Linked DNA regions of Sus scrofa. The protein of the gene in region 1 purifies or fractionates together with the protein of each later gene. This does not show direct contact. Links are inferred from orthologs where the notes say so. Each region holds a gene or a part of one and is shown in the gene's direction. Other genes may lie near its edges.

Region 1 (6,102 bases):
ACTGTAACTGCAATGTATACATCTAAGGATGACCTGACCCCCTTGCTGTACAGTGGGAAAATAATAATAAAAAAAAAAATAAAGACATCTGCTTAAAACAGCACTAAAAGGACATTTCCTGTACCTTTTGATATCAGAATCTTTACTGACAAGACGCAGAAATGCCACACTGAACCATTGGTTAGGTGAGCAGGGGAAAAAAGTTGTCAAAATATTGCAGCTGTTTTAATGACCAAATAATATTCACATAATTAAATATTTTGCAAGTTTACATTTAAAAAATAATTTCCTTTTAAAAATATATTTTGTTGGTTTTTATCACCACATGTTAACAGTGCAGCTATTTTCAGTGAAGGTTATTTTAAATGTGTTTGTAGTTAATGTATTATTTATATGATTAATACCACCAGACCCACAACCGGATATTTATCAGTGTGTTTTGGAACTGTTTAGCCTTTGCTGTAAAAATGGCATGGATAGGCACATGCTAAAGTATATAATTTATTTGAAAATTCTTACATGTATCAATAGCAGCTACATTACACCACATTGTTCTTTCATCACGAAGTCATTAAGCCATAACCATATCTAATCTTTCAGCAGTTGTAAATATTCTGTGCAGACATTTTGAAGTCAGAGGTTTCTTATTGAATTTTGTTTTTCCTGCTCCCTATCTTCGCTTAGGGCTTACAAAGCCAGTCTTTCAGTTAACCCCCTCTGGGAGAAAGAGGAGGGCTCCTCTCCGCTTCCAGGCCTACTTTGTACATCAGGTTTCCGAAAACTTTAAAGACAGGAGTTCCCAGTATGGCTCAGTGGGTTAAGGACCCAATGTTGTCTCTGTGAGAATGCAAGTTCAATCCCTGGCCTCACTCAGTGGAGTAAGGATCTGGTGTTACCAGCATAGGTCACAGACGCGGCTTGGCTTGAATCCAGCTGTAGGCCAGCGGCTGCAAGCTCCAATTTGACCCCCAGCTGGGAACTTCCATATGCCAAAGGAAACGCCTAAAAAGAAAAAAAAAAATGAAAGTGGAATATGCTCACATGCGGGCACGTGCGTGTGCGCACACACAAGCGTGCATAGACCCTCTATAGACTTCTCCGTGGGCCTAAAAAGCCCCAGTGTGAGGTGTTCAAGCTTTAACTCGAATGACTGGTTTCATTTATTCAGTGAGTTTGTATTTCCTTCAAGATGGAAAGGAAGTTTCTTTGCATCGTGTAGTTTTGAAGATGCTCATAATTTGCTCGATGTGTTTTTTGCAGTGTCCATATATGGAATTTGGTTTTATGACAAGGAAGAATGCCAAAGAATTGCAGAGCTTATGAAAAAGTAAGTGCTGCAGGCTAAGTATTTGTCAGGACCTGGTGCTTTTGTTTGTATTTCTAAGTGTGTTAACCACACTGTCATCTTAGCAGCATACACTTCTTACAGCAGTCCTTTTCACAGTGGTTAGCAAAACAGTCACTATTGCTTAATAAATAAAAAATAAATAGGAGTTCCCATCGTGGCTCAGCCATTAACAAACCTCACTGGCATCCATGAGGACACAGGTTCGATCCCTGGACTCCCTCATTGGGTTAAGGCTCCGGCTTTGCTGTGACCTGTGGCTGGCAGCTAGGTCAGCAGACATGGCTAGGTCGAAGACGAGGCTCACTCAGATCCTGTGTTGCTGTGGCTGTGGCGTATGCTGGCAGCTACAGCTCCAGCTGGACCCCCTAGCCTGGGAACCTCCAGATGCCGAGGGTATGGCCCTAAAAAGAGAGAAAGACAATCAATAAATCAGTCAATCAATAAAAAGGATGACATTTTATATTTCCACTAAGTAAAGTTATAGAATGGTTCACCTCATTTTTTCCTGCACATGTGAAATATGTTATATGAATTTTTCCCAGATGGCAGTTTTTCCTTAATATTATCCTCATTTGTAAATTAGCAGTTTTTTCCTTTGAGGTGTCGTCAGTGAAGAGAGTGTCCAGAGCCGTTCTAAATGGCTGCCCTGTTTCCTGCAGCCCTGAGCCTCTCCTCTACCTGCTCCTGTGAGGCTCAGACTCTGCTAGTGCTGAGGAGAGTCTGTGTTTTCAATTTTTTGGAAATCCCTGAGCTAATACCAGTTTAGGGATCAGTAGACGTCTCTCTCTCGTGACTAGTCTCTTTTTCTGTTAATCACATGATGCCTTGTGATTAGTCCCAGCCTGCACTTGGGGAAACTTAAATTCCCATCTGCCTGTCCCACTGTCAGCCCCACCGATGACACTGAAAGGAGGCCCAGGGCAGCATGCTGTCTCCCGTGGGGTCTGTCAGCTCTGACCAGTTCTTGAGCCCCAGGGCAGCTTATAGGGAGGCAGGTCTTTCCCTGCATTCTCACAGACAGTTTAGTGCCTCGAAGGAAATGTGTTTCTTGCCTGTGTTGTATCTGTGCCAACTGGACTCGTCTGAACACAGAGTGGCTCCGTCTGCAAAAGAGCCATTTTTCAGTTTTAAATTCTGAATCAATGAAATAGCTAAAAAGTGACCCCAAAATATGGACTGTGGTGAGCACTTTTTTATAAATAAGATTGATTTCTGGAAAACCTAGCTTGTGATAGCTAATTTTAGGTAACTAGCTCAAGCTGCAGCTGGTGATTAAGTGTGTTCAAACCAATATTTACCACCATAACAACCGGTTCCTAGAACATTCATGGTATTGTAAACTGCAATGGGTAATAATAGCAGGATTTCATCTAGATTAAAAAATACCCTGTGGCTCAGCCCGGGCGGGGAAAAATTCTCAGCATCTGCAGGGATTACTCAACAGCTGGGGCAGGAAATTGATCGTTGAGCAATGAGCCTCCAGTTTGTGTGGATTCCAAGCCTATTCTTGTTAGCATTGAACCTCTCAGTAAATTCTCAGACCCCATCACTGTCACCTGTCACCATAGACTTCAGGGCAGTTTTAGTGGAGGTTCAGCTGCAGTTGGAGCTCAGAGGGAGGGTGAGTCCCTCTCGGTGTGCCTGTGCCCTGCAGGAGCAGTCCGCCTCCCCTCTGTGCTGTTTTCCCGAAAACGCAGACGCTCCTCTTTGCTGCTGCTTCAGTGCCCTTCTTCTGGGCGGAATCTTCACTGTGTTTCTAAACTGGCTGGGACATGGGATCAGAGGATCTGGGATCAGCCCTGCTTTGACTTCCAGGCACTTTGGACCGAGGCAAAAATTCGCTTTGCCACGCAGTTTGCTCGGTGTTTGACAGCCCTGAATTGGGTTTCCTCAGCAATACTGCATCCTTTCAAATGCCTCCATGAGGAGCTGGCAAACTTTTTCTGAAAAAGACCGGACAGTGACTGTTTTTGGCTTTGCAAGGCCACCAGGTTTCTGTCTCAGCCACTCAGCCCTTCCCTGACTATGTGGCACCTGCCTACAGACAATGCATAGACAGGTGTCCTTGTTAACTTGCCATAGAAAACAGGGGCTGGGCCCCACCCCCTCCAGATTCATCCATGTGGTCAGTGTACTCAAAACTCAACTCCCATTTTCCTTCTCTCACTTCCTAAGCAGGCTTATTTCTAACATGATTATAACAAGATAATAACTGGGTGAGAATTGGATGGTTTAAAAAAACAGTTGCACTGAATTGAATTGGCTTTTCTTATGTGGCTTTCCCCTGTGTTTTAACAGCCTAACTCAGTATGAACAGTTGAAAGCCCACCACGGAACTGGGGCAGGAGCAGCAGCCAGAGCAGGAGGCCCCACGATGACCCTCGGTTCAGGGGAGAGCAGGGAGGTGGACATCCTACGAATGCTCACCAAGGCCAGGGACGAGTACACAAAGGTGAGTCCATCTCCCCTGTGCACCAAGCCAGACAAAATTACACACCATAAAGTCTTTACTGGCGTTTAATAGGCTAAAGACTGGTTTTAATTGGCTTAAAAGGCAGCATGAGAAATCAGTAGCCTTCATGTATACAAATAATCTCCATTCAGAAGATGTGTTGGAAGACTTCACTGACGGTATCAACAAATTCATAGAAAATACTTCGGGGGAGTTCTCCAGTGGCACAGTGGGTTAAGGATCCAGTGTTGTCACTGCTGTGGCTCAGGTCACTGATGTGGCACCAGTTCGATCCCTGGCCCAGGAACTAATGCATGCCAACAAAAATGCTCTTGTTGGGGTTAGCAGATGCAAACTATTACATTTAGAATAGATAAGCAATGAAATCCTGCTGTGTAACACAGGGAACTATATCCAGTCACTTGTGATAGAACATAGTGGAAGATAGCATGAGAAAAAGAATGTATACGTGTGTGTGACTGGGTCACTTTGCTGTACAGCAGAAATTGACAGAACATTGTAAATCAACTCTACTTATTTATTTATTTATTTATTTATTAGGGCTGCACCTGTAGCATATGGAGTTTCCCAGGCTGGGGGTCGAGTTGGAGCTACAGCTGCTGGCCTACACCACAGCCACAGCAACGCTGGATCCTTAATCCACATGAGGATCAAACCTGCGTCCTCATGGCTGCTAGTCAGATTTGTTTCCGTTGAGCCACGATGGAAACTCCTATACTTTAATTAAAAAAAAAAATTGTAAATGCTCTGGGGTAAAATGAACAAGAAAGGAACACAGCCTGTATGAAATATTTACTGGCTCTCCTTGGAGGTACTAGGACACCAGAAGTAGGAAGGAGAATTAGCCTCTTCCTCTCACAGTTGCTGGTCAGTGGGAAAGAAGCAAGCATTTATCCTGCCTGGCCAGTGGCACTACCTAACCGGTTGATGAGGGAAAGGCCTTCTGCCCAAGACCTCCAGCTCTTACATGTGGATGGAACGATAGAACTTAAACTCCCAGTGAAGTAATTGACACGGACGAAGATGATCAATAATGTTAGTGCCCTGAGAAGGGTTAATGGAAACTTGACCACCTGCTGAACGTGCCGAGCTGCCCACCACCATGTAACGTCAGGTACTCAGCACCTCTTCAGGATGTGCTAGGCAAAGGAGCTGCTACTGAGTCTGTCTGTAGCACTGACTCAAGGGGATCAGGCAGGTAGGAAGCAGTCAGGACAGCTGACCAGGCTTCTGCAACCTGCCTCGGACGTGATGGTTAGAGGTGCGCTCCTGGGGGACAGGAGCTTCCCATGTCACCTCTGTGCCCCGGTCACCCTCAGAGACTGGCACATGGCCAGCAGCAACCCAAGGCTGTTGAATGAACATGAACAAACCACCTCCTCCTGTCACAGGGCCCCGATGTGGATGCCTTCTCCCCAGCTTCCATCAGGAACAACGAGCTCTGGATCCATGTTTTAGTTTGTTTAATTCTTCAGCAGCCATTAAAAGATATTCCATGGAGTTCCTGTTGTGGCACATCAGGTTAAGATCCAGTGTTGTCTCTGACAGCGCTGGTTCAATCCCTGGCCTGGCCCAGTGGGTTAAGGATCTGGCATCGCTGCAGCTGGGGCATAGGTCGCAGCTGCAACTCAAGTCAGATTCAGTCCCTAGCCTGAGGACTTCCATATGCTGTGGGTGCGGCCATTAAAAAAGAAAGAAAGAAAGAAAGAAAGAAAGAAAGAAAGAAAGAAAGAAAGAAAGAAAGAAAGAAAGAAAGAAAGAAAGGAAGGAAGGAAGGAAGAAAAGAAAAAAAAGAAAAAAGATATCCCAGTGACTTAATTATACTTTAGTAGTTGTGCCGTTAGATATTAATCTTTGTTTCCAGCCACACCTGCAGCATATAGAAGTTGCCAGGCCAGGGGTTGAATCAGAGCTGCAGCTGCCAGCCTACACCATAGCCACAGACATGTGGAATCCAAGCCACATTTGCAGCCTACACCACAGCTTGTGGCAATACCGGATCTTTAACCCAGTCAGCAAGGTCAAGGATCGAATCCGCATCCTCATGGATACTATGTCAGGTTCTTAACCTGTTGAGCCACAACTGGAACTCCTTAAAGTTTTTCCTTTTTTATTTTTGTCTTTTTTGTCTTTTTAGGGCCACACTTGGGGCATATGGAGGTTCCCAGACAAGGAGTCGAATCAGAGCTATAGCTGCCGGCCTATACTACAGCCACAGCAACTCAAGATCCGAGCCTCATCTGTAACCAACACCACAGCTCAGGGCAATGCCGGATCCTTA
Region 2 (6,102 bases), on another chromosome or scaffold:
GTATATGATTATAATACAAAAGAATGCCTCAAAGATCAATTCGGTAGTTCATGTTTTCATTGGTTACTGATTTCCTTTCTCAAAGTTTTCAGAGTGAGGGCATTTAGCTCTTCTACTCATTCGTCTTTTTTTTTTTTTTTTTTTTTTCCTCCCAACATTGCCTTTTTACAGAATTTGAATTCTTATACAAATGGAGCATATGGCCCACCATACCCCACTGGCCCTGGCACAAACCCTGCCTCCTACTCCGGGGCTTATTACACACCCGGGTATGCTCAGACCAGTTACTCCACAGAGGTTCCAAGCACTTACCGTTCACCTGGCAACAGCCCAACCCCAGTGTCCCGTTGGATGTATCCCCAGCAGGACTGTCAGACTGAAGCACCCCCTCTTAGGGGGCAGGTTTCAGGATATCCTGCTTCACAGGTGAGCATGTTTCTGTGGTGGTTTTATTTGTTAGTATGAATGAATGGTACCAAGTTTATTTCTCTGTTTACCTCAAGAGGTGAGGTTTATATTTTTTTTAATATTCTGTGAATGATCCCATGTTTTTCTCTGTTCACTTCAAGGAGAGTTCTAATATGTATTTGTGCTTCCTTATAGCACATGGATCCATTTATTTATAGTATCTGTGGGCAGACCTTGAATTTAGGTCCTATTCCTTCTGAGTTTGATCATCAGCAGATCTGCCCCTGGTAGCTTTGGAACCTGGCCTTTTTAGGCTTGGAGAAATTATTGCACCTAGTTAGAGATGCTACAGGTTAGCCCAGTAACAGCAAAAATGTACTCCGTTAAGCAGAGAAGAAGCATCTCAGAATCTATTTACACTAGAACATTTTCTTTAAAGTGCTTTTTAGCAGTGACCAGCCTATTTCCTTCCTCTCAATCCAGAACCCTGGAATGAGCGTGCCCCACTACCCTTATGGGGATGGTAACCGTAGTGTTCCACAACCAGGACCCACCGTGCGACCACAGGAGGACGCATGGGCCCCTCCTGGCACTTATGGAGTGGGAACCCGCTACCCATGGCCTGCAGCCTCGCCCTCAGCACCACCTGGGAGTCTCTATGTGAGCGAAAGTGCTTCGTCATGGCCTAGCAGTGGCTCTCCTCAGCCACCTCCTTCACCACCACCCCCGCAGCCCAAGGTAGGAGACCTTCTGAACATTGGTCTTCTGATGTTTGGGTAACAAGGAGCACAACGTGGAATTTGTCTGCATTGGTCTGTGTTAAATGAGGACTAATTTCAAAAAGTTGGTGGCTACTACCCTATAGCTTTACGTAGCCCAGTTTCCTTTTTTAAAAAAATTTTATTCAAGACTTTATTTTTTAGAGGAGTATTAGGTTCACATCTATTTTTAAAAGACATTCCTTTACTATGTGTTGTAATGCTATCTGTTAAACAAAATCAAAGACTGGATTTTATTACCTCAGTCTCCAGACAGAAGGCAAAACCAGTATGAAATTGCATGGTTTCATTAAGCCATAGACTCAGACAGCGTTTGCCTGTGGCTAGGTTCCTTTTCAAGATTTGTCTTAAGGGTTTCTCACTTTAGGGGAAAAAACTATCTATTTCCTATTTATTAAGTCACTGGACGGATTGTGAGGTAGTAAGGATAGATTATGAGGTCTTCATGATGATGACCTGCCTGAGGATAGATTCTAGCCTTTATGCTCAGGAATTATCTGCCTCTTGTCTTTTTAGGGCTGTGTTTTTCTCAAAATGATTAAGGAGGGCTTAAGAGTTTTATTGGTGGGTAATCTTTTCATCTACCTAGCTGGTCAGATAAAAGATGTGGGCTAACAAATATGATAGATTCCCATTAAAACAGCTTTTTTCCCCTCTTTGCTCTTCTGCTCCAAGGATTCCTCATACCCCTATAGCCAATCAGATCAAGGCATGAGCCGGCACAGCTTTCCTTGCAGTGTCCATCAGTACGAGTCCTCGGGAACAATGAACAGTGATGATTCAGAGCTTTTGGATTCCCAAGTCCAGTACAGTGCCGAGCCTCAGCTGTATGGTCATGCCAGCAATGAACATCCCAGCAATCAAGATCCGAGTAATAATCTTCCTGACGAGTGTTTATCTTCAGATGAAGGGACTCCCCCAAGTATTAAAAAAATCATACATGTGCTGGAGAAGGTCCAATATCTTGAGCAAGAAGTAGAAGAGTTCGTAGGAAAAAAGACAGACAAAGCATACTGGCTTCTGGAGGAAATGCTAACCAAGGAACTTTTGGAACTGGATTCAGTTGAAACTGGGGGCCAGGACACTGTCCGGCAGGCCAGGAAAGAGGCTGTTTGTAAAATCCAGGCCATACTGGAAAAATTGGAAAAAAAAGGATTATGAAGGGATTTAGAACAAAGGGGAAGCCTGTTACTAACTTGACCAAAGAACTCTTGATTTTGGTTAATTACCCTCGTTTTGAAATGCCTGTTGATGACAAGAAGCAATACATTCCAATTTCGTTCGCTATAAAACTTGAAAAACTGGTAAAGGACTTGGAAGAAAAGTTGGATTATGGGTTGTTTTCAATTTTCAGACCAATGAATGTAATAGGAAACTATGGCATTATCAATATTGTCAAGTAGACTCACCCCTTAAGAAATGTATGGGTATCTGCAAGCTGCTTCTTATCAGCAGGAGGGAAATACACTTTATGTAACAGGCTTATCAGAAACCTACCAGATAAGACTGGATACTATCTGAGACAAACAAGCTCTGTTTTTTTTTTAAACGTCTGGATTACTTGTCACATTTTTGTACATCGTGACGGCTTTCAACATACACTTTACGTGTAAATTACAGCTTGGACTTTAGCTTTCTTGGACCTCTGTTTTGTTTTGTTACTTGCAGTTCACAAATATAGTACTATTCTCTACTTCTTGGTACATTTTGTAGTAATATGTTTAATATAATTACTCAGGAGACTGTATTGACAGCCAGAGAGTATGGCAGTTCTGGTTGAATTTTTATCTTTTCACCACTTGAGTATATTGCAATGTGTAGTGAGTTCCTGAGGTAGAGTGTCTCCTTTTTTGTATAGATCATTAGGTTAGAGTTTTACCACTTCTGCTTTTCATGTTATTTTTGGAAGGTTAATTTGGTTAAAATGGCATGGGTATAGAAATGAAAATGTGGCCATTTTACTTTTTGCTTTTTTAATGGTATTTGGATGAAGATCCACTTTAAACTCCACCCCACCCCCCATCTTTTTACTATAGCTGTTTCCATATGGAGCAACATGCTAAATACAAATGAAAAATTAAATGCCACAGCAAGTAGAAATAATAATTGCAAAAGTAATAAATACAACCGTTTGGGAATGCTCTTCTCCATCTAGAATATTAACTTCACCATCAGGACCCCTATGGGCAGATTTCAGCTCAGTTTATAGTAAGAAACAATGTGGGTAAAAGAGGATTCATGCTCAGGGAATGAATCAGCAGCCATAGCTAGAGTGAGAAATTATGTTCAGCTTTTGAAAGGTAGACCTGATGTTTATCTTTATTCCCTTGGAATAAATTGCATAGACAGTATTGCCTGTTTTTTTTTTTTTTTTTTAAAAGATGTTTACCACCGCTAATAACAGTCACATTAGAGTCAGATTTAAGGAAGGGATAATGAAAGATCTTAGCTGGGTTTGCTTTGGTAGCCCTATGCTACCACATAGAAGTGACTTAGGTAAGTTGCTTTTTACATCTGAAGTGGGTTCCAGTACACAATATCTATTATTGCAAAAACTGTTATTTCTTAATAAGATAGCCAACTGATAATTTTTTTTTCTTCACTGCCAGGCCTATTAATAAAATAAATCTATTAGCCCTTCCCTCTCCTTATAAACAACACCAATACAATCATATTATATGATGAGAAGAAATGGTCGGGTCATGTGGTTGGTAGAAGTGATTTTATGAGATAATTTGGTGACAGTTTTTTTGTCTTTTTTTTTTTTTTTTTTTTTTTTGTCCTTTTAGGGCCACTCCTGTGGCATATGGAAGTTCCCAGGCTAGGGGTCTAATCGGAGCTGTTGCTGCCGGCCTACGCCAGAGCCACAGCCACACCAGATCCAAGCTGTGTCAGCTCATGGCAACGCCAGATCCTTAATCCACTGATCGAGGCCATAGATCGAACCTGCAGCTTCATGGTTCCTAGTCAGATTTGTTCCCGCTGCACCACGATGGGAACTCCGTGGTGACAGTTTTATTCTAGGATTTTAAATTTTGGCCTAATAGAGGAATGTTTAAAAGTAAGCTTTTCTATGAAAATTTAAAAGTACTTGAAACTAAATATTTGGAAGGGGAAGAACCTTAAAACTAAGTTAGCAACCAGTGAGACAGTGACTAATTCAGGAGAGAAAACTGCTCTTTAACTGAGTGCCCCAGATACCAGTTTCCCTGGAGTCTTAACGTTATTTTCCTTGAAGTCTAAATAACATGTTAGACACATATATTCATATATATGTATGTTTTAAATTTTTAACAGTTATGTTTTAAATTTTGAGAATTTTAACTCTCCTGAAGTGTTGTAAAAACAACACTCTCCTGAACTGTTGTAAAAACAGTTCGTTTATACCCTTCAGTCACCATCCCCTTATATTAACATCTTACATAATTGTAGAACGTTTGCCAAGTTAAGAAAGTTGCCTTGATACAATGCTATTAACTAGAGAGTTTTGAAAGTAGAGATTTTCGTAATCTTTTCACTAAGGTCCTTCACTGTCTGGGGATCCAGTCTAGGACCCTGTCTTGCATTCCACTGTCATGGCTTCAAAGTGTGACGTTGTGTCATGACCCCTGATGTGGTAATGAACTATTGGTGTTGTTTACCTTAATACCACCTAAGGTGGTGTCTCCTAGGCCTCTTGGTTGTAAACTTGCTGTGTTTTCCTTTGTAATGACTGAGTGTTTGCCAGAAATAATTCGAGCTATGCAAATGTCCTATTTGTGCTTAAACTTACCCACTCATTTTTCTATCCACTGGCAGACCTTGCTGGTGTCAGTTACTACTGTGGTGTTCCTGTGGTGGCTTTCTCTTTCTCTCATTCCTTCTACATTTATTCATTGGACTTCTGTGAGGAAGGGCTGTTGCTTCTGGGTTTATATTTTTAATTATAGTAAGACATTCAGGATAAGTACAAACTTAGAACTTAAAGGTATAAACCATGTTAAAATGATTCCAGATGCTAATATCAAGGAAAGAAAAACTAAATTGGCAGCCTGTTCCAGAAAAAAATAGTGAACTTAAAAAGGAAAATAGTATTCTTTTTTTTTTTTTTTTTGTGTATTTGGTTGTTTTTGACAGTATCGATTCCAGACTGAATTAAAAAATTATTATTATTATTATTATTATTTATTATTTTGGCCATGCCCATGGCACATAGATGTTCCTGGCCAGGGAGTAAACCCGTGCCACAGCAGTGATAACGCTGGATCCTTAATTCGCTAGGCCACCAGGAAGCTCCCATAAAATGTTTTGATATTTCACATCTGGACTTTTAAAAAGTGTCTATATTTATATTACTTTGGGGATAATTTTTGTCAAAATTGTAAATACGATTATCTAGATCTGGCATGTTAGACACAACTAAGTTTTCTTTATAGTTCCATATTGTTCCAAATATAAATGCCAATATAAATACTGAGACAAATAAGTTCTAATGAAGTATCAGCAGAATGGGCTATGCTGATTGCTACATTGTTGGTGGAGAATTCTTTTAAATGCTTTTAAAAATAGGGTTGGGAGTTCCTGTTGTTACTCAGCGGCTTAAGAACCTACTAGTATCCATGAGGATGAGGGTTCAATGTCTGGCTCAGTCAGTTAAGGATCTGGCGCTGCCACAAGCTGTGGTGTAGATCACAGATGTGGCTTGGACCTGGCATTGCTGTAGCTGCCGCTGTGGCTTAGGCCAGCAGCTCCTGCTCCAATTCAACCCCTAGCCAGGGAACTTCCATATCCCTTGGGTGTGGCCCTAAAAAGAAATAAAAATAGGGTTTTGAAAACGGTTCTTTAGTTGGTTAATATAATACCTTTAGAAGTAGGCAGTTCTTTTTGTTTTAAAGTTGAAGAGTATAGATTAAATTGGCATTAAAAAAGTTTGAGG

The links.
Region 2: the proteins of DCP1B (region 1) and BAG4 purify together in Homo sapiens (affinity purification with mass spectrometry; 3 studies listed by BioGRID and IntAct, counting the BioPlex papers as one, with this or other methods). This does not show direct contact. The link is inferred for Sus scrofa from reciprocal best matches to the Homo sapiens genes DCP1B and BAG4.

The regions. Positions count from the first base shown.
Region 1 is NC_010447.5:68,933,837-68,939,938, reverse strand, and holds part of DCP1B (mRNA-decapping enzyme 1B), read left to right. Parts: intron 1-1,260; coding exon 1,261-1,327; intron 1,328-3,646; coding exon 3,647-3,800; intron 3,801-6,102. UniProt on the Homo sapiens protein: May play a role in the degradation of mRNAs, both in normal mRNA turnover and in nonsense-mediated mRNA decay. May remove the 7-methyl guanine cap structure from mRNA molecules, yielding a 5'-phosphorylated mRNA fragment and 7m-GDP.
Region 2 is NC_010457.5:48,302,516-48,308,617, reverse strand, and holds part of BAG4 (BAG family molecular chaperone regulator 4), read left to right. Parts: intron 1-171; coding exon 172-426; intron 427-891; coding exon 892-1,146; intron 1,147-1,862; coding exon 1,863-2,348; 3' UTR 2,349-6,102. UniProt on the Homo sapiens protein: Inhibits the chaperone activity of HSP70/HSC70 by promoting substrate release. Prevents constitutive TNFRSF1A signaling. Negative regulator of PRKN translocation to damaged mitochondria.